Linked DNA regions of Rattus norvegicus. The protein of the gene in region 3 interacts with the protein of the main gene of each other region in a pairwise test. Links are inferred from orthologs where the notes say so. Each region holds a gene or a part of one and is shown on either strand. Other genes may lie near its edges. The genes, in order: Gpatch4, Cdc73, Kash5, Nsg1, Jagn1, Stx5 and Slc41a2.

Region 1 (3,143 bases), on a different chromosome or scaffold from region 3:
GAAAGCAAGTAATGTTTAGCAGGTAAAGCAAGAACAACTGACAGAGGAAAACACATCTTCTTAAAGGGGAAAAAAAGACCTGCTGGCTAGTGTGTACCCAGAAAGAAGTGAGTGAGACCTGAAACATAAAGGGCCATAGAAGACAGTCTCATTAAAAAGGATAGAGCTGGACGGTGGTGTTGCACGACTTTAATCCCAGCACTTCTGAGGCAGAAGCAGGCAGATCTGAGTTCGAGGCCAGTCTGGTCTACACAGAATCTGTGTGGAAAAACAAAAACTAACAAAAAGGATTATGATATGGTAGCTGTCTTTTGCTACTTTGTGGGTAATTTCCTCCACTCTTCTCCATCCTTTTTCCATCCTTTCAACCCCCCAACACTAGGGAAGGGGGGCAAAGGATAGGAAGAAAAGGAGGCAAAGTTATTGTTAGTCTACCTCTTACTGATTAGGGCATGGAATTCCTTGAGGTAAGTTTGATCTTCACTGACAGGATATCTAATTTCTTAACAAACCACAACTAATAACCCACAACACCCTTCCTCTTGGGCCTAGCATTTATATACACTCTGAAAAATCCCCAGAATTCCAGAAACTACTTGCTGCTGGCAAAACCACACCCCTGCTAGAGCATGAGGCAAATCATAGTCAGCTGCTGACTGCAATCTGAAGCAGCCCCCCATATCCCACATCTGAGATTAAAGTAAAAACGTAGTTCCATAATATTTGTTTTTCAAAGAGACCAAAATCCTTACTACATAATACAGTTTGTGTTTCAGAGAGACCCTTATGGATGCTTTGTAGGTTAGCTGACTGTGGTGGAGAGTGAGAACAGAGGCAGAGGCTCTTAAAGGGGCAAGGACTGCCCGAACTGAGTAGATGTCAAGATGTAGAAACTGAGAAGGATTTCTAGATGACTTGGGAAGCCCTGAGCACAGAATCTCTGCTCATTTACTGCTGGCTTCTCTTCTTTTTGCCTATACTAGTCAGCTGGGGGCTCTTTACTCTTTGGGTCACATATATGAAGAATGAACCAGGCAACCTCACAGAACCCTCCTGGCTTCAGACTCTTTAAAATTATACACCAACATGCCCCATCCCAGCAGCTCCTAACTAAACGACAGCCCTCCCTCCCACTGTGCACTGCTGCTTCCCCAGCAGATGGGATGGGCCATGGAACCGTAACACTTCAGTTCCAGGTGAGGCATGGGCACAACAAGGTTGGACACAGGATCTGCATGTACTGGGATATCCTGAGAATTAGTTGGACACACAAGACAACTGCTCAGGACCCAGGGGAGATGGGAGCAGTTGAGAGCTGGACCTCTCACTCTAGTACCTTCACAAACTTCTGATACAGCAAGCTGGGCTTTGAGTGACTGCGCTGGGTGGTCTCCTTGGAAAGGCGCCTTATCTGCACTCCATCCTGTTGGAAAATATTGGTGAGAAAGTGGCATGCTGTGCTGTCCTACCCGACCCCAGGCCTGCGGGTTTCTTCAATATACCTGACAAGCTCATACCTTGCCAGAGTCCACTACCAAGTTGGCGGCAGTCTTGTTGAAGAGATCACTCCACCAGTGGTCTGTAAATTCCTTGGCAGGGTCATGTCCCACCTCCAGATGAATAAGTAGAAGTCAATCTGAGCACTGCCCACTGGCCCTCATGGGTGCCCTTTCCCATTCATTCTGACCACTTCCCAGTCTTACCCCATGGGTATCTTGCTTCAGTGTCACCTTGAGGGCCTGGGTGATGCCATTCTCTTTCCGGCCCAGGCCTTTGCCTGCAGAGGAGAGTGATTTATTTTGAGGCCTGCCGTGAGCCTTCCCAGGCTAACTACCACTCCTTATACTGATCATGGGGTATACTCTATGCCTTCAGAAACCCACCTCACTCCATTCCTTCAAGCCCTGCTCAGTGCCTCTGTCTGAGCCAGAACTATCTTTTCTGTCTCTTTGCAGTCTCCTCTAGTCTGCCCAACCATTTGCTCCTCATTGTCCCTTGTTATCCAAAATGAGGATTTCTCCCATCTTCCCTAATCTAATGGGTCAGAAAACTTATGCTTCTAAAGACTTCTCTTTACTAGTCTCTCCTCTGGCTGAAGGGACCCGGGGCAGAGGAGAGGAGTTGGGTGGATGTGGAAGAGACCCTAGAGCACCTTGAGTCCACCCATGCTTCAGCAGCTGCTCTTCAGCAAACTTCATCCCACGACTCTTCACCTCTGGGGTGACACTCATGGCAGGGAGAGGCTCTGTCCTCAGGTTCTCAGCAGGGAAAAAGTGGCACCATACTCTGAAGAGGGAAAGAAAGGACTGGAGGTGCAGCTTAGACAGCAGGGCGCTAGTCTAGCACACAAAGCCCCAGGCTTCAACCCCTGCATCATGTAAAACAAGGCATGCTGGCCCACACATGTTAATCCCTGCAGTTGGGATATGGAGGCAAGAGGATCAGAAGTTCGTATCGTCTATAACTATGTAGAAAGGTTGAAGCCAGCCCCTGCTTTATGAGACCATAAATGAGTGAAAAGGAAAGGGAAGTAGTGTGGGCTGGGGCTGTATCTTAGTATACCTTAGATACTCTACTTAGGTAGAGTGCTTGCCTAGCGTGTGTGGGTCCTGGGTTCAATCCCCGGCACTGTGTAAGCAGGTGTGGTAGTGCATCCCTGTAATTCCAGCTCTGGGGAAGTGGCAGCAGAAGGCTCAGTTAAAGGTTGACTAGGAGCTTGGGATACGTGAGACCTGTCTATGCTTAAAGCACTTAAAGCTGCTTGTGTAAGAGTCTTCTTTCAGAAGAATAAGTGTATATGTATGCCCAAATGTGTGTGTATGCACTGCACACACGCGGGAACTGGAGTTACAGTTGTGAGATGCTACACAGGTGCTAGTAACTGAATCCAGGGCCTCTGCAAAGGCAGTAAGTGCTACTAACCACTGAACCATCTCTTCAGCTACTGAATTCTTTTTCTTGAGTCCTGGGAGATACCAGGAGGAAGGCTGTTCTTTGGGGCGTCCTCTCTCTGGTCAAAGGAGCCAACACCCAACACAACACAGGACAAAGGAAGGGTAATGTGGATACTGATACCTATATGTGTGACTTCAGTATATAACGTGAAAACTCGATCTTGCACTCACCCTACTCTGGTGACAAAG
Region 2 (3,500 bases), on a different chromosome or scaffold from region 3:
GGCCTTGTGCTTCAATGTTGTCTCATTTTATACAGTATCTGCAGTGCTTTTCTCCACCCAGACCAAACCTCTTCAAACTATTCAACTGAAATCCTTCCAAATAAATTACATAAACCACTAAATATATATTTTGATAATTGATAAGAATGAGAAAAATAGACTATAAAAATGTTGACTGTAGTGATTAACCCTCTACACTTCTTTTTATCCTAGACTGTATATAAATTCAAATAGAGAGAAAAAAGATTTTAAAGTTCTTGTGTGAACACATTATCAATTTAGAAAAATGAAGTTTTTCTTTAATCCACCTACAATCATTACTTGTAAACATATGGTTGGAATTGGGGCTGGGAGATGGCCCAGCAATCAGAGCCCTTCTGCTCTTTAAGAGGACCACAGTTTGCGTCCTAGCATTCCCAGTTACAGGTAGCTCACAACCACCTCTAACTCCAGTTCAGGGAAGGAGTTAAATGCCTCTGGCCTTCTCTGGTACCTGCAGTCGTGTGTACTTAAGAGACACATGTAGACATTAAAGTTAAAAACAAAAAACAAACAAACAAAAAACCAGCAATTCTTTTCAAGATTAAAACAAATAAATAAAATGTATACTGCAGGTATCGAGTCATCTTTGGGACAACGACTTTTGCCATTACCACAATTTTTCTTATCATTTTTCTAATGTAAACAAGAGAGTGCAAGAAAAACTGGTTTCTAAGGGATTGCATAGATTAAAACCTTTGTTGAGTATTATGAACAACAATGAAGTGATGAGAACCCTTAGTATCACTAGCCAATTGCATCACAATGACCACTGAGTCACTACACCCATTATTTGCACATACTTTTTTCTGACTTAGCTGAACAAGTAAATCGCTTATTTTTCTTCAGCTATACATGGAAAATCTAAAATTTATATAAGGAATATAAATATAAATATATATTTGTACACAAGTTTAAAACCTACAAGTATTTCTTTCCTTGTCATTTTTAACCAGTGTATCTGGAACATTACACATATCTGAATTAATGTCTTTTTGGTTTTGTTCTGGTTTTTCCAGACGGGTTTTCTCTGTGTAGACCCAGTTGTCCTGGAACTCACTCTAGAGACAAGACAGGCCTTGATCTCAGAAAGATCCCCCTGCCTCTCCCTCCCAAGTACGGAGATTAAAGTATGTACTATCACCACCCAGCCTGAATTGATATTCTTTAAATTACTATCTCAAAGCTTACTCATGTATTTCAGAACCATCTAAGTATTGTTTATGTCCACATTATGACCCACCTGAGAAGCTGCAGGTCTACTGACTCTACAAAGCCCCAGAGATCAGAGCACCTATTCCAGGAAGAGTCAGCACACAGCACAGAGCAAGGAACATGGCAACTTAAAAAGCAACCTCTAATCTGTAAAGCTGCAGAATTTTAGATCTCTGTACCATTTCATTTGGAGAAATTTTAAGTAAAGCAAGGGTTATATCTTATATGACTATAAATGTAAGTCCTAGAGTCCACAATAACTGTTACTATAAGTTATGAACTATAGCCACTCGAAGAATAGTCTTGCGGAGCAGTGGTAGCACTCAGGAGACAGAGGCAGGAGAATCTCTTAAGTTCCAGGACAGCCAGGTCTACAGAATGAATTTCCGATGAGCCAGGGCTAAACAGAAAAACTACGTCTCAAAAAACAAAACTATGTATGTATACATACATATATATGTATATATAAATATACATACATGAATATATAGATATATGAAATGTTTATAGCTCTAAGTACGTAAATTACTTAACAAACAATTCTAATTATTGCTTAATTAGGATTTTAAAGATCTAATAAATAATGTAATGGTCAATTATTAATTTTCCCTACTACTTACCAACTTTAAGATTTTTAAACATATATTTAACACTGAATATATGTTTCTTACTCAGAAAAACAGTCCTACTGAAGCAGAATAAATGAGGTACTTTCACAACTGGTCCAAATAACAAGTTACTTTTCAAAAGCCTCAACTATCTCTACTTAGAAGGAAAGGTTGTAAGAGTAAATTTCACACAACATAATGCAATCCAGCAGTAGTGTTAAGCTGCCAAAAAATATCTCTAGTGATGGAAGTCACAATGAAGATTTTATGGGTTTGTTTTGAGAATATTCAGAAATGAAAGAACTACTTTCAAATTAAGACAATGCAGTAAAGTTAAAACAGCTTTTAGAGTAGATATTTGATTATATCAGTATCTCCAAAGTAATTCTATGTCTGATCCATCAAGAAATCTGATGGAGGACCACTTTTAATAAAAGTTAAAGGGCTGCAGCGTCTCTCAGAAGAAGAGTACTTGCCTAGCAAGCATGAAAGCCTGGGCTCAGTGCCCAATACCACATTAACAGGACATGACTGCAGACACATCTGATCCCAGTACTAGAGGGTAGAGGCAAGAGAAGCACAAGCTCAGGTCATCCTCAATTAGACAGGTGCTAGAGGCCAGCCTGGGCTACATGAGACTTGTGTCCTCCCAATACCCAGAGAAATATCTGGAGAACCATCATAATTTGCACATGTATGCCAAGCTGCAACGTCAAACTCAAATAATTCAGAATCCTACTTAACAGTCCCTTGCCAGCAGAAGAACCTCATCATAACAATCTTTGTGAAATGAAATATTTTTAATTATTCCTAATAATTTCCTCTCAACAATGAATTTTCAAACACTGACAAAGCAGATAAAACTAAAAAACAATACATTTGTCAATAAAGTACCAAAAGAACTGTTCTGGTTAAAATTCTAAAGAAGTATCTGCTTACGTTGGGTTTATTGAGATTTTCATACTTTAGTACTAAATTTATATCATTCTTATGCCTTCTCCTATAATATGTTTATACTAAGAAAAGTTTTCTTGAAATTAAACTATAGTTCTGAATTATCAGAGTTCTTCTACTTATATTTTTTGAAACATCTATGTAGTCACTTTTAAAAGTTCTGTTATGGGGTTGGGGATTAGGCTCAGTGGTAGAGCACTTGCCTAGGAAGTGCAAGGTCCTGGGTTCGATCCCCAGCCCCGAAAAAAAGAAAGAAAAAAAAAAAAAGTTCTGTTATAAATGTTACCTATATTTTACATGAATGAACTGCCAACTAAAAAATCTGAATAAATCACGTAGCAGTTTAATTTTCACTCTCCATGACAATTTCAGACATTTGAAACCCATGAGTGAAGTTATCTATAACTATTTGATCAATAGTTTTAAAATGACTCCTACTTACAGCTGCACGTCGGACATAAACAGGATGCGAAAGGTGCACATTATTAAGGAGAAATAGGATAGAATCCAATGTGTAGTATTCTCTGGGTTGGCCTTCCTTTCCGGTCCTAAAATTAAGGCATGACTTTTATTAAGATTAAGATAAATATTTGAGCTCAGTTACATGCATTCATTTATCTATATCTAGTTGGTTATCTAACAGTGTATTTAACCTAGCAAAAACATACATGCAGTATAAACTTT
Region 3 (4,289 bases):
CGAAACTGGGCCATTTGCAAGAGTAGTAACCGTTTCAGTAGCTTCTTTTTCTTTTCTTTTCCAAACAGGGTCTCTCTGTATATCTCTGACTGGCCTGGGCCATGAATACCAGCCAGGCCTTGAACTCAGAGATCCATCAGCTTCAGAGTGCTGGGATTAAAGGCATCAAGCAGACAAACAGCAAGTTCTCTTAACCACTGATCCTTCTCTCTAGGTTCACTGCCTCTTTTTGTTGTTTTCCCCTCCACCAGCCATCTCCATGTCCCTTACCCTCCGTGGCCATAAGAATTCAGCATCATTCACAGGCTTGCTGCTCCCCGCCTTTTTAAAGATTATAGGAGAGTACACTGTTGCTGTCTTCAGACACACCAAAACAGGGCACCAGATCCCATTACAGATGGTTGTGAGCCACCATGTGGTTGCTGGGATTTGAACTCAGGACCCCTGGAAGAACAGTCAGTGCTCTTAACCACTGAGCCATCCCTCCAGCCCCTCCTAGATCTAGGACTTGACTTTCACAGGCCTCTATGATCACAAGGACTCCCTCCTCTGCACCCTGACAGTGCTGTCCTGCCTCTATTACAGCCTGGCCAGTCAAAATAAGTCACCTTCAAGAGAAAAGGAGGCACTATCAGTAATTCCTTTAGATGTTTGGCAACAGAGCCCCTAACACTCAGAGGGCACCGGGGGCCAAGGGTAGAGAGGGTTTGGGTTTCCTCCTGTTTGCCACCCCTTTGATTCGGCTGGAACCCCCTGCTCCTCCCCTGCTCAAGCCAAGAAACCTCCTTTGCTCTTCTGCCCACAAGGAGGAAACTCCGGGCTAACATGTTCTCACCTCTCCTCTCCATTTTCTAGCCACCCACCCATAAGTGCCCGCCCAGGGGCTCAGCCTTTGACCATGTAAGGACAGAATCCCAGCTCCTAGCTGGCAGGCTATCACTCCTCACCTAAGCTTTATAAAACTCCCTTGCTAAGCTTAGCTGGGATGTGGGACTTCACTGACCTCCACGTGTGAGACGGTGGAGGTGGATGCCTCCTAATGAACCTGCCCTTATCTATTTTTAATCTGGTCTAATCCAGTCTGTATCTGTGTCACTGAGGGGAGAGAAAAAGGTTATCACCCTTTCCTCAGGGAATGCAACCAACACTCTGCTTTGCCTGGATTCCAGCAGCTGCATGTGTTCTGGAGACATTATTTGACTTTTGGAGACAGGGACTTAATAAATATATATTATGTAGCTGTAGCTTTGTGGGCTGTGTAAACTAGGCCAGTCTTCAGCTAGTGGTGATCCTCCTGCTGCCGATCCCAGAGGCCAAAGGGAAGGGAGAGGTTTTCAGAGACTCAGGAAGAAGGCGGGAGGAAAGGAACAAGGGGAAAATTCTTAAGGAACAAGGGAGATCAGGTTGCTGGTGAGTGTCTTGAGGGATTTTAGACCTGGACGAAGTCGAGAGTGATCCCTGGACTAGAATTCAAGGGCTGCATTTCTGGGGTGTCACTGGATTTCAGGGTCCCCAGTGGAACTTGTACGGGAACTCAGGACAAATTTCTAGAATATCAGATAGTTCTTGTGCAGGTCTTTAAGGGAGACTCTGATGAGCTAAGATCCTAGCTGCTGGCGTGGTAGGCTAAGGCTGCAGGATCCAAGTTTCTGAGTAGAGTCTGGGCAATTTAATGAAGCTCTAGAAGAGTCCCTAGAGAGGTGGCTTAGTGGTTAAGAGGACTAACAGTTTACTCTTCCAGATAGATATGGGTTAGATCCTCACTACACACATGGCAGCTCCTAATCATTTGTAATTTTAGATCAAAGGGATACTGTACCCTCTTCTGGTCTGCACAGGCATACACCTGGCACACATACACGCATGCTGGCAAAATACTCATAAAAAAAAATAAAAACCCCAATACAAAAGCCAGGCGGTGGTGGTGGACATTTTTAATCCCAGCACTTGGGAGGAAGAAGCAGGCAGGCTAGCCTGGTCTACAGAGCTAGTTCTAGGACAATCAAGCTACACAAAAGAAACCCTATCTCAAAACAAAACACCTGCTCTGCTCACAAAAACAAAACAGCTTAAGTATTAGGTTTCAAAAGCTCTGGAAGATTGTAGTTGGGAATATCTGGGAGAGCTGTGATCCTAAAACTGAGGCATGAGGATCCTAAGGTCGTTGAAAACAAGCAACAGAAAGCAACAGGAAGTTTCAAGATTCTGACAGGATTTCCGAAGTTGCCACTAGGATTTTCCAGAGGGAACCTTTAATTCCTGTACTCGGGAGGTAGGGGCAGGCGGATCTCTGAGTTTAAGGCCAGGGCTACACAGAGAAACCCTGCCTCAAAACAAAACTTCCCAGAGGGTTACTTCATGAACATCGGAGATTTCGTCAGAACTTGGGTCCTTTTTAAAGGAGCTGGCAGGAGATGTTACCGGGTAACCTGCCATCAAAGTCGCCACAGGCAGGGCGTACCTGGAGTCGGGACTCTCGGGACTCAGTTGAGGGCCACCCTCGACGAACGGCGGTTGCGACTGGCACAGAAGAAGCGTGTTCACACGCGCCTTTCCCGCCAGAAATGCAAATGAGCCAGCCTCCTCCAAGTCCCGCCCTCTCAGGCTCTTGAATTCACGCAAGCGCACTCCGGGTTGATGGGAGCCTGCGGTTCCCCTTACCTTGAACCCCGAGCTCGCGCATGCGTAGAACTTCCCGGGACGACCGCTTAGATCAGAGAAATGAGCGCATGCGCACTAGTGGTGGTGGAATAGCGGTGATGGTGCGATATTATCGACAGTTTTCTTCTGTGGTACTAAATCCTTCCCTTCTGCTTCGCAAAATAGGGCCGAGCAGGGGAGAGTTCAACCGAAGGACACCCTGTTCACCCCTTGTCAGTCTTTGAACCGAGTCCTTTCAATCTTCTTTTGGGTCTGGCTCGCCTGCCACCGTCACAATGGGGCGCACCCTCACTTCCGCTCCATTGTTCCCCGCCCCCGCTCTGTGGCATTAATACATACCCAAACTGTTTCCCAAACAATTTATTTTACTTTCCTATTTATTGCCTAGTTATGTAGCCCAGGCTGGCCTCGGACTTGAAGCAATCACCCTGCCTTAGCCCATCACGCTGGGCTATTCAAACGTTTTCATTTACGAGGAAGGAGGGACAGGTTTTTTTGTTTTTTTTGTTTGTTTGTTTGTTTGTTTTTTGTTTTTTTTGTTTTTTTGTTTTTGTTTTTTTTTTTCTTTTTTGCTTTTTAACGTCAGTAGAGAGGGAGCTCTGTCTCCCAAGGATATTTGGAACAGAAGACTCCAATCTCTCATCCACTTGTCACTCCAGAAAACCGATCCTTTTGTTGCACTTTCCTCTTTGTCTGTGGGTCTGCTTTCCCTCGTAAAGATCCAACAACTAAAGTCTGAGTGCTGGTCCCAGGCTTCATCCCCGTATGCTGTCTGCAGAATGGGTACTAAAAGCATGGCCAGCTGCTTAGCATTTTTGTTTGTTTGTTTGTTTGTTTAGTGGTGTTCGGTGAGCACTCAGGAGGCAGGGCCAGGAAGATGGAGGAACATGAGACTAGCTAGCCTGGTCTATACAGTCCTAGACCGGCCAGCATTACAAAGTGAGTAAAGACATTTGTTACCCATCCCGGAATCCCCAGGACCCATAGGATGGAAGGAGGGCTCCTGAATTCCACATGCATACCCTATCATTTGTTCGCTTTCTTCCCCTTGCTGTTTAAAAACACATACATGTAATAAGGACCTGGACATGTAGCTCAGGGTACAGGGTTTCACCAAGGTGCCCTCATTCAACCCCTATGACCTCATGAATTGGGCATGGTGGTGTACCAATACTCAGGAGGTAGAGGCAAAAAGGGCAAGGTCTTTCTCACCTTACTGACCATGAGACCCCATCCGTGTGCTGCTTAGTTTGACCAAAGCCAGAGTCACCTGAAAACCTTAACTGAAAAAATGCTGTCATATTGCCCTGTAGGCAAATCTGTGGGGGATATTTTCTTGGTTGATGAGTGATGTGGGAGGAGGGCCCAGCCCACTGTGGGCAAGACCACCCTTGGGAAGGTGCTTCTGGGTTGTATGGGAAAAAGGAAACTGGGCTTCAGTTCCTGCTTCCAACACCTACCTTGGCTTTTCTTGGTGATGGACTGTGATCTATCGCAAGATGAAATAAACCCGATACTCCCCAAGTTGTTTTGATTGTAGTGCTCACCATGGCAGTAGAAAGCAAACTAGGACACCTGGTCTAGATGAAAGAACTGCCAAACGCTTTCAGGACAGTTGTGGTGCATTC
Region 4 (3,500 bases), on a different chromosome or scaffold from region 3:
TCTCAGTGCTAGGACGGACACACACACACACACATACACACACACACACACACACACACACACACACACACACACACACACACACACACACACACAACCCTGGTTCTGTCTGCCTTTTAACTGACTCTGCATACTTCTCAGCTTGGGCCATTTGGCTGCTTGGTAGAACTCAGGCTTCTGGGGTTCCCTTTCCACCCAAGCAGATTCCCAGGGCTCAGCTGATACACTTACAGAGGCCCCTAGATAATAAATGCATGCTGAAGAGTGGAAGGAACTTAAGGACATGCCCTTGGGCATGACAAAGTGCCTCTGAACCCTGTTTCTCATTGGTAAAAGGGAAGAGGCACTCCCTTAGGATCTCCAGGTGGCCAGCCAGGGCAGTGTGGCTCACAGATCTCGGGACCAGTCCTCCACCCCTGGAGGTTGATGTGGAACGTACCATGTGCCTGAATACAGAGGAGGAGGAAAGCCTCCCCCACCCACCTAGCTGTGTCATCCAGACAACCACCACCATCACTTGCCACCATTAAAACACTGTTGGAAACTGTACAAGCCCACAGCGATGCACTTCCAGAAGTTCCTAGGGAGTTCTGGATTCCCAAGGAAGTGCAGACCTGCCTTTCATCCGTGTAGATCCCCAGCCTCCTCCCACACCGCCAGGGATCTGATCCAAAGTCAGCCTGGGCCCTGGCCTCCCATCTTCTTCATCATCCCTCTTCTGCACCACCTTCTCCCACAGAACTTGGGTTTGCTGAGTGGAACCACCAGTTTTGGCTTCTCACTGCACTGGGCAAGGAGCCTGCCCCAGACCAGAGAAAATGGGCCAGGCAGAAAACCCAGGACAGCATTGTGGTTGGTGGAGTGCTGGCCCATCATCTGTGACAGTGGCTACAGGAAGGAGCTGTCTCCTACCTATCCTGTTTCCCACAGAGGTGCCACATGCCCCCTATGATGTCAGCCTGAGTCACCCAGCTTCAGGCCAGGTGGTCCTGGTCAGTCCCTCCTGGCCTCCCTAATTCAGTCTTCCTGTCTATCCACTGTCACACTGGTCTGCCTCTCCGTCCCCATTGCGTCAGCCATCCAGACCCTCTCTCCCCTGCCTGACTGCAACAGCCTCTTCTGTCAGCATACTGTCTGCCCCTCTCAATGTCCAGGTGACCTAAGGGATCATCCTCATCACCCTTTTGGGGAGCCTTTGCTAGGAACCCAGGGTGCTGAGCAGTGTACAACCTCGATGTACTTTGGCCACTCTCCCAAATGCCACCAAGCACGCCCCAATCTACCTTCTACTCTCTTCATCTCCTACTTTGCCCTATGTTCCAGAAGCTGTCCCAGGATGGACCACCTTCTAGAAAGGACAGACTCAAGTCCTCACTCAGTATATACATGCCTGCCCTCCTGCCTGTCTCATGTTTCTTGAACCAGAAGGAGTCGGGAAGGTGGGGTCTTTGCTCCTGGGTGTGGCTTAGCACCCTGAGCAACCAGAGTTCTAGAATCCTACAATCGCTACAGGAGGAAGGAAGGGCTGCAAGGCAGGAGCCATGTTAGGACCTTGCAGTGTGTAAGAGGTAGAGGAGGTCCTGTCTGTGGTTCTGTCTACAAGAACTTTCAGGTCTTCTAACTGGCTCTGCCAGGGCATCTCAGCAAAGCCCAGACACATCCATCCAGCAAGGACCCACAAGCGGTACAGGCAGCACCCACTCAGTGCCCGCTCTGTTCACACTTGAGCAGCTCCAAAGCCCGCACAGGGCCATTTCCCATCAGCTCTGGAAAGTTCAGAAGCAGAGCGAGTGAGGCATAGAAGCCTCTCTGCTCTGCTCCATCTCCTACCTCCGCCCTATCTTCCCTCCCTCCAGTTTTGCTTCCTTAGTCCTCTGTGTAAATGCATCTGCACCCACAGTAGGCTCATGGGAAGGAGGCATAGAAGCAGAGAGAACATTTCCATGTGTGCAGGTGCCAACATGGCCTCTGCACAGGAACCCACAGGAGAACCCAAGAGCAACCTGTAGGCAGGGGTCCCTTGGTGTGGCTTGGGGCAGGGCTTTCCTCTTGGTCATTGCACCCCACTCCCGCCAGATACCCGATGGAAGTGTCAGCCTGGCACTTTCTGCCGCAGGGGGCGGGGCGAGCTCTTCCCCAGGGACAAGCCAGTTTCCTCCCAGTGACCCCACTGTGCTTTCTGCCTCCTTGCCTAGCTGCCCAGGCAGGGTCTTCAGCGAGGACCCTCCCATTGAAAGTGCACAGCCTGCTGCTATACGGCCCTAGGATTAGGGAGGAAAGAGGTTCACATCCTGGGGGTCGGGCAATGGGAAACAAGACCTTACCTTCAAGACAAACCCATCAGGGCACGCACGGTCATACTTGTACACTTTGTAGACAACCAGGAAGACGACACAGGTGAGGAAGGCCAGGGCAAAGAGGACCAGCACGGAGACCTGTGGGAAGAGGCAGAGAACGCCCTGGGACTGGGAAGACAGCTGACTGGCAGGGACAAGCAGTCATTCACACGGAAGTTATGTGCGCCTGCGCAAAGAGCTTGGGGAAAATCACCTTGGAGTGGCCATTTTGTATGGCTCTGACTTTTCAACACATCCACAGGTCACCATGTGTTTCAAGCATTTCAGGCTACAAGGAAAGCTCTGTGCACAGACTCGGGAAAGCCTTGGCATTGGCCACATGACTCCCAGACGACTTGGGCCCTTGACAGAGAAGTGGGGCCTGTAGCAGGATCTCAACCCAGGCCACCTCACCCGGAAACACTGCCTGGCAGGAATCCACCCTGCCAGGGAGCCAGCTGCCTGCCTCTCACTAGCTGTCCCTGCCCACAGGGCTGAGTCCGGGAGGTGCTACACACCTGTAACCCGGGCACTTCGGGAGGATCAGAAGTTCAAGGTCATCCCCAAATACATAGCAAATTCAAGGCCAGACTGAGCTAATTGAGATCCTGCCGTAAAATAAAATAAAATAAAATAAAATAAAATAAAATAAAATAAAATAAAATAAAATAAAGTAAAATAGCAGGGCTGGCAAGATGGCTCCATCGGTAAAGGCATTTGCCACCAAGGCTGATGCCCTTAGTTCAATCCCAGAGACCCAGTAGGAGAAAACTGACTCTGAAAGCACTCCCATCTCTTTGTCTCTCTATCTCTCTGTCTCTCTCTGTCTCTGTCTCACACACACAGAGGAAATTAATATTGTATTTTTTGTTTTTAATACTCCATTAATGTTTTTTAATATTAAAAAATCATAAAGCAAGGGGAAAATGGTTGTCAGCCTTACAGGTATCTGGAAAGTGACAGAGTACTAGGAAACATGCTCCCAACCCCACAGTGAAATACACAGTGTGTCCAGCACAAGTGTCTGGGGTTGGGGCCCCATTTGGAAATGAGCTTTTGCACATGGGTTGTGTTCAGATGAGGTCATTAGCTTGTCAAGTCTGGTCAGTGTCCTTACAAGAAAAGGAACTGAGGCAGAGACACACACTGGAGGGAACATCATGT
Region 5 (4,107 bases), on a different chromosome or scaffold from region 3:
CCTAGGTCTCACTCGTATCCTCAGTCTCAAGAGCAAGGTGTCTCCTCTAGCTAGGTATGCAGTGACAACGAGACCTTGGGTTAGGAGTTCCCCAATAGGAAGGGCCTAAAGTTGAGAAAGAAGGGTCCAAAGAGCTTGTCATTCTTCTGTACAGACAGAGGCAAAGAACCAGCTGAAAGATTCAATGGATTTAAGGAAAAAAATTAATTCATCTTAGGAAATGTGGGAGGTAAGGCAAAAAAAAAAAAAAAAAAAAAATTTACTCTGTCATTCAAGCTCCTTCAAGGCAGGATCCAGTTTGGCTTTTTCTCTTTAAAAAGTTTATGTGTATGTGTGCACCACATCTGCACCAATGCTGTCAGAGGTCAGAAGAAGGCATCAGAAGCCCTGGAACTGGAGTTACAGAAGGTTGTAAGCCTTCTGATGTGAGTGCTAGGAACTGAATTTAGGTCCTCTGACAGAACAGCAAGTACTCTTAGTTACTATATGTGGGTTCTTAGGAAGAATTTGGTTTTTTCACCCATAATACATAAAACATTTGATCACGTGAAGATATTTGGGAAACTTTACTTAACATATACTTATTGTAATTGTTCACTTAAAGTAAAATAGAATGTAACCACGTTGTGATTCTTGTGCCGCTTGGAAGATTTTGCTAGGATGTATAGGCTGTGGTGAGTTGCTGGAGATTTGCTTCATCTACCGAATGTATGAATGTGTATGTATAGATGTAAAGATACCAAGCATGGGAGTGTGTGCCTGCTGTATTTCATTGCCGAACCCACGTTCCCACCTTGGATCACAGAACACACTGTCAGAGCTGGCCTCAAGACAATTAACTCAATCCTATGTGCACAATAAGCCTAAGACATGACTACATTGAAACTTTGTAAAGTATTTGTGACATCTTCCATAAAGATGGGGTCTACAGGTGGTGGTGACACTTGCCTTTAATCCTATCACTTTGGAGACAGAGGGGATGGGGAAGGGGAAGGAGGGAGGGAGGGATGAAGGGAGGGAAGGAAGGAAAGAAAGAAAGGGGTCTACAGATTGATAACCTCCTGATAACAGTATGGTATCTGGTATGGTCTTAGCCACACAGTGCAAAGGTTACAAGGAAACAAGTTATACCTCTCTCCCTCTGAAGAGACAACGTGTGTGATTAACATTCCTGGTTCTCCTAGTGCTTAAGATTTTAAAAAACAAAACCTTTATTGAAAAGTATAACATAAAACCAAATAACAAGGTCTAGTTTTGAAAACTGGCACAGCCTCAGTGTCTAACACAATACATGATGATGGATAGCCAGTAAGGACTTATCAAACAAATAAAAGGATGTAAAAAATCCCCTTATATGGACATATTCCTAAAACTCAGGTTGGACAGGGCCACCTTTTACCATCCACACTCACCCAAACAGCCCCAAGTTTAGCAGCTACCATGTGTTAGTTCCCATGCTGGGCCTTTACACACCAAAACCTAAAAGATATGAGATTTTTTTTTTCTCCCTCTGAAGATGTTAAAATGGAGAGTCCAATTAGAAATAGCCTGCTGGGGGCTGGGGATTTAGCTCAGTGGTAGAGCACTTACCAAGGAAGCGCAAGGCCCTGGGTTCGGTCCCCAGCTCCGAAAAAAAGAACCAAAAAAAAAAAAAAAAAAAAAAAAAAAAAAGAAATAGCCTGCAGGAGAGAGGGGGTCTCCATGGAGGGGGATCTGGACTACATACCAAGACTCTAGTTTACAAAATCACTTCTGATCTGTAGTTAGAAAGATGGCTTGCCATCCTTCTGTGTTTGGTTCTCAACATCAACCTCGGGTGGGCTCAAAACTCCATGTGTAATTGTAACTCCAGTTCCAACACCCTCTACTGGGTTCTTCGAGCAGTTGCTCTCATATGCACAAATACATACATACACATACACACATACACACATACACACATACACACATACACACACACACACACACACACACACACACACACACACACACACGAAATTAAAAATAAGAATCTTCTTTAAAAACCTTAAGTAGTGGACTGGAGAGGTGGCTCAGCGGTTAAGATCACTGACTGCCCTTCCAAAGGTCCTGAGTTCAATTCCCAGCAATCACATGGTGGCTCACAACCATCTATAATGGGGACCCGATGTCCTCCTCTGGTGTGTCTGAAGACAGCGACAGGGTACTCACATACATGAAATAAATCTTTAAAAAAAAAAAAAAGTTAGGTAGTTTTCTGGCCAAGTTCATTCCTGAAAACCCAGCAGCACTCAGGAGGCTAAGGGGAAGGATGTGAGTTCGAGGCCAGCCTGAACTCTACTGTGGAACCTTTTTTTCGACTTGAAAAAGCAAAGTGGTGTCCCCCAAGGTCACCGAGAGGGTCCAACACGGAACCATGTGCCTGTGCAAGCTGGATCCCCTCAAAACACAAGGCGAACCAAGGCGGGCCAACCGGGCTTTCCCAGCCTGGAAATAAAACAGAGTTCGCTAGAGCAGGGACCTGACGGGTGCACGACAACTGGCTGGAGTGCGACAGCTTGAGGACCACTGATGTTGCTTCCCAGAACCTGCAGGCTCCGCCGGGAAAGGCCTCGGTACGGCTGTCTCACCTCGTACCTCATTTGGTAGTGCATGGCGACTCGTTCCCGGTGCTGAAAGTCGCTGCCGTCGGTGCCGGCCGCTCGTGGGCCTGCCCGAGACGCCATCGTGAAGAACCTAAGGCCCTAACGCCGACCCTCTGGCTCACACCTAGCCAGGCTCCCAGAGAACCGCTTTCCTGCCTCCTCCTCTCCGCTTCCACCACACGGCCTGCAGCTCTGGGAGCACTTCCGGTCTCTCTAGCCCTGGAGGACTGACTCTGTGGTTTCTTCGCGCATGCGTTCTTGGTCTTTCGGATGTTCTTGCATCTCCCAGAGTAGAGCGAGTGCAGAATTAACTTAGTCCCTAGAAATATCTCGCGGGTCTACCCGAGATGCCATCGTGCGGAATCGAACCCCTTGCCGCTAATGCCGATCAGCCATGCCCCCAAGCAAACCCCCTTTAACTTCATTATAAAGCATTTCAAAAATTACTTGTGTATGGGTGTTTTGTCGGTGCACCACGTGTGTTTTTTTTTGTGCCCGCAGAGACTGGAAGAGGACGTAGGATAGTCTTGTTAGCTATAATGTGAGTGCTGGGATTTGAACCTAGATCTATTAGGCTTTTTTTTTTCTTTTTTTCGAAGCTGGGGACAGAACCCAGGGCCTTGCGCTTGCTAGGCAAGCGCTCTACCACTGAGCTAAATCCCCAACCCCTATTAGGCTCTTAACTGCTGGCCCAGACCCTAAGTTTTTTGTTTTTTTGTTTTTTTTTTTTTTTCCTTTGAGACAGGGTTTCATGTGCCGCATGCTGGCTTCGAACTCTTGACAGTCTTTTTGCTTCAATCTCCCAAGGCATGATTATAGTATTAAGCCATGCCTAGCTCGACTTGGCATCTTTGACCAATTGCTCAGTGACTTGTTGCACACTTAACACTTCCTGAAGCTGCACACAACCTTCGGGTTAGGATCCGGAGCAAAGACGTTATATACCTAAAAGTACAGGGCGGTCAATGTTGAGAGGCAACATTCAGAGGCTGAGGCAGTAAAGAGGCATCTCTTCCTCCCTGCACTGTTATCCACAGTTTGAGACCCTGGGGCCTTAAGCTAACTGGAACAAAGATGGCGGTGAACATTTATAATCTCCCCAACTTGAAAGGTGGAGGAAGGAAGAGGAGGAGTTCCTCCTCGGTTACATAGGAAGTTGGAGGCCAGCCTTGCCTATGTTGAACGTTGTCAATGAATGAATGAATGAAGGAAGGAAGGAATGAATGAATTGAACATTGTCAATAAATGAAATAAACAAACAAACAAATAAATAGCTGGAGAGAGATGGCTCAGTGTTAAGAGCACCTGCTGTTCTTGCAAAGAACCCACCCAGATTGTTTGTTTTATTGAGAGAGGACCTCACTATGTCCTGGAATTCACTATGTGGGCCAGCCAGTCTTGAACTCACAGAGTATTCTTCATGCCCGATGTGTTTGTTTCTGAGCACCAAATGCGTGTCTGGTGCCAGAGGAAGCCAGGAAAG
Region 6 (3,327 bases), about 110 Mb from region 3:
TGACTTTAACACAGATCAGAAAGACAAAACAACTCATTAATCTCCCTTGAGGGTCTGTGTTAGGTGGGTCACCTCCATTTTGCAGTGGTTTTGCTCAGGATCTTAGAAGGTGCCAAAGAGCTGGGTACAAATTGGAGCTGGGCACAAATGCTCTTCACCCAGCAGCAGAGCTCTTGCTTCACTCAGTTCAAAAATCAGGACCAGGTGATTTGAAGATACAGGTTAAACAGGCTCAAACTGTTTGGGACAGCCCTAGAAGTTGACACCCAATAATGAGTCCACTTAGCTCCAGTTCAAAGGAAAATTCTAATTTAGTGCTGTTGTTACTTGGCCACTCCCTTTTAAGAGGGAGTTGTGGGTACAGAGCTCCAAAGCTGCTCTGCCTATCAATGGGGGCTGTCAAAGCCACCAACTTAACCCTTTTGGTTCTGGTATTAAGCAGTGGTTTGCTGGCTGCGGAAGCCCACGACGATCCCACCCAGAAACGACAACATCACTAGTGAGGCTGACAGTCTTGCTGTAATTGGGAGGAAACAGGCTGCAGCATGTTTGGCAGATTGAGAGTCACCAGTAGCCAAAGTCAGGTTTGTGCAACTGTAGGGCTCAGAGCCCCCCCCACCTCACATGGTGAGGAGAAGGTGGCAGTCAAGTTCTAGATGACCCAGATGATTAAGTTGGTCCCTGGGATAGTTTTACTTCCTCACCTCACTCTCCAGAAGGCAAGGAAGGGCATTGTTTCCTCTTGCTGCCAGTTACCTTTAGGGGAGGCTGGTCTGGGTTTATAAAAATCTCATGGTAGAGACAACCTCCCCACTGGCCCTAGCTGGCTTCTGTTCCCTGCCACTTCACAGCAGAGGCCAAATCCAGAACCAGTGTGTTTCATGGGCCTGAGGGTAGGACAGAGTGGCCAGAGACAAGGGTGGGGAATCAGGGACACTGGCCATTCTTAGCAGTTCCAAGGAAATGGCCTTTCTCCCAACTACCCTGCACAGGCTCAGTGGCAATAGTGGCCACCTGTCCTTCCAGAAGGGTTCCAGGCCCTCCATGGAGTGGCTCAGAATGAGGGAGGAGGGTTCAGGCAAGGAAGACCACAAAGATGATGAAGAAGACAATGAGGATGAGGAAGATTTTGACCATGAGCCACCGATTGGAGGTGACTGACTGGAAGTACTTGAGGATCTCTGAATGGGCGGCCTCAACATCCAGCTGGGCTCCAAGCACATTCTCGTCAATCCTGGAAACAGGAGATAAAACAGAGAGGAACACTGGGTTGAAGAAGGTTAAAGACATCCATTTATTGATATGGGAAGCTGATCACAATATGTAGAAGTAAAAAGTATTTGATACTACGTTAACTGTGTGTGTGTGTGTGTGTGTATACACATACATACATACATACATACATACATACACACACACACACACACACACATATCAAGTTTTTTGAGGGTAGTAGATCATGTTTGATTCTAGCTTTAAAGTGTCCTGCCAGTTATTAGCTTATGATTGAATTATTTAACCAGTCTTATTTTCCACATCTAAAAAATGAGATAAATGATATAAACCCTACTCCTTTCATGAGATTTCTTATTTATCTGTTTTTTTTTTTTATTTAAAGACTTATTTATTTTATGTATGTGAGTACACTGTCACTGTCTTCAGCCACACCAGAAGAGGGTAGGAGATCCCATTACAGATGGTTGAGAGCCACCATGTGGTTGCTGGGAATTGAACTCAGGACCTCTGGAAGAGCAGTCAGTGCTCTTAATCACTGAGCCATCTCTCCAGCTCCTCATGAGGTTTTAATTTTCAGTGAGTTAAATGAGCCTCCAATCTATATGAGTACCCCAAATGCTGTAAGTTTTACTCATAAACATTTCCTGCTTTTTTTTTCCAATAATGAATATGTATTGCATTGTGATTAATGGGGAGAGAAGTTCAAACCATTATAGTCAGAAAATCCTTGTTGGGTGATGGGAACATCTTAATATAGACAGGAACTCAAAGAATAATACAACTCTTACATCCAGGGAACATTATCTTGGGGGAACAACTCCTCAGAGGAAGGACAATTTTGAAAACTCACTGAGGCAAACAAAACTTCCAGCCAATCTACATATACAACCCTTCTATTTTTGGTTGTGAGCCTAGCATTTAATGGCTGAGCCATCTCTCTAGCCCTACATATATAGTCCTAAAACCCAAATATTGTGGCTGGGTAGATAACTCAGTATTAAAGTGCTTACTTGGCAACCAAGAGGACCTGAATTTGGATTCTAGCACCCACAGAGCAAGCTGGCCACAGTCTTTTTTTTTTTTTTTTTTCTTTTTTCTTTTTTTTCGGGGCTGGGGATCGAACCCAGGACCTTGCACTTCCTAGGCAAGCGCTCTACCACTGAGCCAAATCCCCAACCCCGCTGGCCACAGTCTTAACTGTGCCCATAACCAGAGCACAGCAAGTAAGTGTAGAAAGAAAAGAGCTGGGTTTTGCTGGTTGAAAAAACAAACAAACTAACTAACCAACCAACCAAACCAACAAAAGCCAAGTTTTAGGCTAAGGGAGGCCCTATTTCAAGGAGAATAAAATAGTCAGACATGGTGGCATACATCTTTAATTCCAGCCCTTGGGAGGCAGAAGCAGGCTAATTTGAGTTTTGAGGCCAGTCCAGTCTCCAGAGTGAGTTCCAGGGCTACACATAGAAACCCTGTCTCAAAATTTTTTTTAAAATTAGATAAAAATAATTTAAAAAAAAAGGGGGGGGGGGTTGGGGATTTAGCTCAGTGGTAGAGCACTTGCCTAGCAAGCGCAAGGCCCTGGGTTCGGTCCCCAGCTCCGAAAAAAAGAAAAAAGAAAAAAGAAAAAAAGAAAAAAAATTATAAGAGGACATCTGATGCCTCCTCTGGTCTACACATGCTCATACAACATAACACACATGCCTTGAAAGTAATTTAAAACCCAAATACCATCCTATGTAACAAGATGTTTCAGACAAGGTAGTCTACACATAAAGCAGGACAGTCCACTAGGATTGTATTGCCTACTGACATAAAAGTCATTTGAGCTCACATAACTCTACTCTGTGAATGGTAAAGTCATCTAAGGACAAATTTCAGACCCAGCCCTATCAGTAAGTGAAGCATGATGCCATACATCTTGACTTTTAAAAATGGATCTGTGACACAGAGCCCTATAGGGGCTGAGTATGGCCTATGTGGGGCCTAGAAATAGAGAGGAAGGGCTGGACAAAGGGCTGCAAGATTAAGGTCCTGTGAAGACAAACATGAGGACTGAGTTCATCTCAGTGTCGTAAATTCAGAAGCCTGAAT
Region 7 (4,075 bases), on a different chromosome or scaffold from region 3:
GCGTTGGAAAGTTCCTTCCCTTGTAAGATAGGGACGGGGAAACAATGGAAGACTCAGTACCAGGTTGCCTGTGTAAAGATTAAGGCAGAGGCAGCTTCAACATCATGCAATTCAAACAGGTTTCTGGGAAGGTGAAGCAGTTGGTTAGTGGTAAGTGACTCCATTTTGAATCCTAAACCAAAATAGTGACTCCCTGTAATTTTTAGTCAGCACCCGTGTTCTTCATAGTAAAGCTCTCATTCCTAAAGGTAAAGATGTTAAATTACCATATATGTGTGTGTAGGGATTGGGTGTGTGCTCTTGAATGCCAATCAATGCCTGTGGAAGCCAGAAGAAGACATTGGGTCCAGCTGAGCTGGCGTTTCGTGCGTGAGTGCGTGCGTGTGCGTGTGTTCAGGTGGGTGCTGGGAGCTAAATTTGTGTCCTATTGCAAGAGCAGTAGTAATCATCTCTCCAGTCTTATACACGCCACCCCAAATGTGTTCTAGGGCTGGGCGAAACAGTGCATACCTGTAATTCCAGAACAGGAGGGGTAAGAGTTTGAGGGCAGATTGGAGATTGCTGCACGCCTTCAATCCCAGCATTGAGAGGCTGAGGCAGGCAGACCTCTGTGAATTCAAGGGCAGTTTGGTCCTCATATCAAGTTCCAGGCCAGCCAGAGCTGCACACAGTGTGACAGTCTCAAAAAACAGAATGGAGTTTAAAAGCCAATCTGGGCTGCACAGAGAGACCGTCTTCTAGAAAAAGAAAAACCCACAAGAAAATGTTTTTGGTTTTGGTTTTGGTTTGTTTTGAGACAAGGTCTCACTATGTAAATCTGGCTTTCCTGGAACTTGCTAAGTGGGTGCCACCATGGAAGTCTCTCTCTCTCTCTCTCTCTCTCTCTCTCTCTCTCTCTCTCTGTGTGTGTGTGTGTGTGTGTGTGTGTGTGTGTGTGTGTGTGTGTCCTCCCTTTGCCCATCTGAAAAGGTGCTAAATCACCGCTGTGAAAACTTTGGTCTGACCCCTAAAATAGCTTCAGGATCAAAATGATCAGCTTTCCCCAGGAGTCAGTGCCTTGCACCTCACACCTTTGCATAGTGGGAGAGTGGAGTCCCACTAGCTGAACCGCACTTAATAGGTACTTAACAAATTGTTATTGAAGCTATTTGCCCGGTTTTCCTGGGCAAATTCTGGCTCAAGTCTACCTTGGCTCCCAAACTCGAGTGTGGGCAAACTGCAAAGCTCAGCTAGGCAGCGTCGTGCACTTGGCTCTGACCCTGCCAGTCGCTAGGAGGGCGTGACGCGCTGCCCGCACGTCTCCTCCCCGTCCTTTGGCCTCCCAGAAGCGCTCAACGAACGACTCCCACGTCCTCGGTTTCATTCCGGTCCGCAAGGAACGCGAGTTGGACCCCCGCCGAGGCCCGGGGCTGACGGAGCGGTGAGCGGAGGATGCGCGGGCTGGGATGCGGCTGGGAGGATGCGCGGGGCAGCCTGAGCTAACCAGCCAGCCAGAGTCAGAGCTGGCAGGAGGGCGAGCGGGCGAGCGGGCGGCTGCCGGGGCGCGGCCACGGATCCGGGTAGCCTCCGGGCGGCCACATCAGCGGCGCCCGGCGGGTCCGGGCCGGCTGCGCGCGTGCGCGGGGCGGGGCGGGGCGCGCGAGTGGCCGCGGGCGTGGGGCGACTGTCAGAGGCGGCGAGGAGGCGCGGCGGGCCCGCGGGGCTGGGCCGGGCTCACGGACCCCGGGGGCGTCGCCGCTCTTGGGCTCGGCGTAGGCGGCTACGGAGGGAGCGGAGGCTGCGGCTCGGCTGGGTGTGGGAGGGCGGCGTTGCGGCCGGACGCTGGAACCTGGGCCGGCGGGACCCGAGGCCGCCCGACTCTATCCAGCCCTGCCTGCCGCTAGCCTCGGGCTCCGCGCCGGGTTCTGGCGGTGGTGACCCAGGGCGCGCGCCGAGGGATGGAGGAAGGTGAGCTCGGATGCAGATGCTGCGAGCCGGGTTGCGCTCACCCCTGCTTTGGGGCTCAGCAGCGTCGCCACCCTTTATGGCTTTATGGATGGATGCACAGTATGCCTCAAATTTAAGAAGCCTCGGTGCCCATTTATGGAGAAAGCTGGCATGTTTGTGCGTTACTTATATATTACATTCTCAGGTATAGTGCCCGGCTGTCATCTTTTTGTAAATGGACGTTTGTTGACCGAAGCGTCATGTAGCATACGTGCTACTTTTCCTTCTAAAAGGTGGCTTTTCATGTATCCATCTAGTTTTGTAACTGTCACCACTGTTCAGGTAATTTTTTTTTTATTTCCAAAGGAACCCTATACCTTTTAGTTGCTTGTTACCCATTCCCCCCCCCCCCCCCACTGCCCCAACCCACTGGAAACCACTAATTTTTCTGTTCCTATGCATTTGCTCTTTGGAGACACTAATGAAACCATACAGTATTTGTGGTTCCCCACCTCCGTTTAAAGACAAGACTTTGGCTCTCCCCTTATAGTTCAGGCTAATCTGAATTTTCGGTCCTCTTGCCTCAACTTCCCAAGTAGTGATCTCACACAGACTTGTGCCACACCCCACCAATGTGTCTGTGGCTTTTTGTCTGGCTTCCTTCACGTAGCTTAATGTTTTTAAAGCTCATTCATGTTGTAATTATTGTGCATCTGTTCTGTACTTTCTTAGAGCTGAATGACTGATATGTGGTGTGTCACAACCACACCCGTTCACCCATTAATGAAATTGCATAGCTTTTTACTTTTCAGCCATTGGATATGATGCTGCTAGACTGTCTGTAGATGTGCGTTTTAAAGTCCCCGAACATAGGTGTGGAGTTGCTTGGTGCTTAACATTTTGGGGAAACTTTTAGACTTTAATCAAAGTCGTTGCTACATTTAATACTCCACCAAAGTTTATGCGGTCTGCATCTTCCTTAAACTGCTAACACGTTATTTTCTACTAGTTTTTTTTTTTTAAAGCTATCCTAGTGGGTGTGACTTGATATCTTTTCCTGGTTTTATTTTGCATTTCAGACCAGAGATTAAAAAGCCTTTCTATGCTTATTGGCCATGCGTGTATCTGTTTTGGGAAAATATCTGTTTAGATCCTCGGACCCTATTTTTTGCTGTTTTATTTGACTTTTTGTTATTGTTATTGAGTTGTCTTATTCGTTTTAGGAAAAGTTCTAGATTTCTTACTGGTACTGGCAAATTTGCATAAAAATATAATTAAGTGGTATTTGAATCTTTAATAATGCTTTACCCTTTTACCTGGTCATTTTTGGCATTTTGTTGTGATTATTTTTACTATTTATTTGGCTTTCTTGAGAAAAGCCACAGGAGGTGTGGTCCTGGGGTTCCTGCTGGGACTTTAGTTGGTGTTTTTGTAGAGTTTATGTTTGAAAAGTTTCACTTATTGTTAGCTACAAATAACCTGTGTTGGGTTACATAGAACAGAATCCCATGTGTTTCCCAGTAAGAAGGTTTTTTCCTCTTTTAGTCCGGGTAGTTTCTATTGCAATTATCATATATGTGGATGGTAGATAATGTGTTTGCCTTTTTGAGGTAGAGTCAGTCTCTCCCTCTCTCCCCCCTCCCCTCCCTCCCCTTACTCTTCCCCCTCCCCCTCCCCTCCCCCTCCCCTCCCTCCCCTTACTCTCCCCCCTCCCCCTCCCCTCCCTCCCCTTACTCTTCCCCCTCCCCCTCCCCCTTCCCTTTCCCCTCCCCTCCCCCTCCCCCTCCCCCCATGAGTGTGTGTGTGTGTGTGTGTGTGTGTGTGTGTGTGTGTGTGTAGCCCCGGCTGGCCAGGAACTCACTATTTAGATCAGGCTGGCCTTGAGCTTGCAGCAATCCTCCTGCCTCTGCCTCCCAAGTACTGGCACCCCAAGTGAAAAACATTTTACTGGAGCTGAGATTAAGGGTCACCTGGGACTGAATGTCAAGGTGCTTTCTTTTTTTTTTTTTTTTTTTTTTGGTTCTTTTTTTCAGAGCTGGGGACCGAACCCAGGGCCTTGCGCTTCCTAGGTAAGTGCTCTACCACTGAGCTAAATCCCCAGCCCCTGTCAAGATGCTTTCTACATGGGTGATTTCTGTGTATGTACAAA

What was found.
Region 1: the proteins of Kash5 (region 3) and Gpatch4 interact in binary tests that used the Homo sapiens proteins (3 or more experiments, as listed by UniProt). The two-hybrid records come from large-scale screens. The link is inferred for Rattus norvegicus from reciprocal best matches to the Homo sapiens genes KASH5 and GPATCH4.
Region 2: the proteins of Kash5 (region 3) and Cdc73 interact in binary tests that used the Homo sapiens proteins (3 or more experiments, as listed by UniProt). The two-hybrid records come from large-scale screens. The link is inferred for Rattus norvegicus from reciprocal best matches to the Homo sapiens genes KASH5 and CDC73.
Region 4: the proteins of Kash5 (region 3) and Nsg1 interact in binary tests that used the Homo sapiens proteins (3 or more experiments, as listed by UniProt). The two-hybrid records come from large-scale screens. The link is inferred for Rattus norvegicus from reciprocal best matches to the Homo sapiens genes KASH5 and NSG1.
Region 5: the proteins of Kash5 (region 3) and Jagn1 interact in binary tests that used the Homo sapiens proteins (3 or more experiments, as listed by UniProt). The two-hybrid records come from large-scale screens. The link is inferred for Rattus norvegicus from reciprocal best matches to the Homo sapiens genes KASH5 and JAGN1.
Region 6: the proteins of Kash5 (region 3) and Stx5 interact in binary tests that used the Homo sapiens proteins (3 or more experiments, as listed by UniProt). The two-hybrid records come from large-scale screens. The link is inferred for Rattus norvegicus from reciprocal best matches to the Homo sapiens genes KASH5 and STX5.
Region 7: the proteins of Kash5 (region 3) and Slc41a2 interact in binary tests that used the Homo sapiens proteins (3 or more experiments, as listed by UniProt). The two-hybrid records come from large-scale screens. The link is inferred for Rattus norvegicus from reciprocal best matches to the Homo sapiens genes KASH5 and SLC41A2.

Annotation. Positions count from the first base shown.
Region 1 is NC_086020.1:175,810,762-175,813,904, reverse strand, and holds part of Gpatch4 (G patch domain-containing protein 4), read right to left. Parts: intron 2,287-3,143; 5' UTR 2,232-2,286; coding exon 2,153-2,231; intron 1,778-2,152; coding exon 1,704-1,777; intron 1,611-1,703; coding exon 1,518-1,610; intron 1,424-1,517; coding exon 1,337-1,423; intron 1-1,336.
Region 2 is NC_086031.1:57,993,532-57,997,031, forward strand, and holds part of Cdc73 (parafibromin), read right to left. Parts: intron 3,365-3,500; coding exon 3,259-3,364; intron 1-3,258.
Region 3 is NC_086019.1:104,824,921-104,829,209, forward strand, and holds the start of Kash5 (protein KASH5), read right to left. Parts: upstream 2,801-4,289; 5' UTR 2,684-2,800; coding exon 2,662-2,683; intron 2,601-2,661; exon of another isoform or gene 2,462-2,600; intron 1-2,461. UniProt on the Homo sapiens protein: As a component of the LINC (LInker of Nucleoskeleton and Cytoskeleton) complex, involved in the connection between the nuclear lamina and the cytoskeleton.
Region 4 is NC_086032.1:76,874,579-76,878,078, reverse strand, and holds part of Nsg1 (neuronal vesicle trafficking-associated protein 1), read right to left. Parts: exon of another isoform or gene 2,436-3,500; coding exon 2,325-2,435; intron 1-2,324.
Region 5 is NC_086022.1:148,145,932-148,150,038, reverse strand, and holds the start of Jagn1 (protein jagunal homolog 1), read right to left. Parts: upstream 2,801-4,107; 5' UTR 2,706-2,800; coding exon 2,617-2,705; coding exon of another isoform or gene 2,610-2,616; intron 2,206-2,609; exon of another isoform or gene 2,026-2,205; intron 1-2,025. UniProt on the Homo sapiens protein: Endoplasmic reticulum transmembrane protein involved in vesicle-mediated transport, which is required for neutrophil function.
Region 6 is NC_086019.1:215,079,859-215,083,185, reverse strand, and holds the end of Stx5 (syntaxin-5), read right to left. Parts: intron 1,235-3,327; coding exon 1,075-1,234; 3' UTR 501-1,074; downstream 1-500. UniProt on the Homo sapiens protein: Mediates endoplasmic reticulum to Golgi transport.
Region 7 is NC_086025.1:22,270,038-22,274,112, forward strand, and holds the start of Slc41a2 (solute carrier family 41 member 2), read left to right. Parts: upstream 1-1,275; 5' UTR 1,276-1,420; intron 1,421-1,679; exon of another isoform or gene 1,680-1,947; intron 1,948-4,075. UniProt on the Homo sapiens protein: Acts as a plasma-membrane magnesium transporter. Can also mediate the transport of other divalent metal cations in an order of Ba(2+) > Ni(2+) > Co(2+) > Fe(2+) > Mn(2+).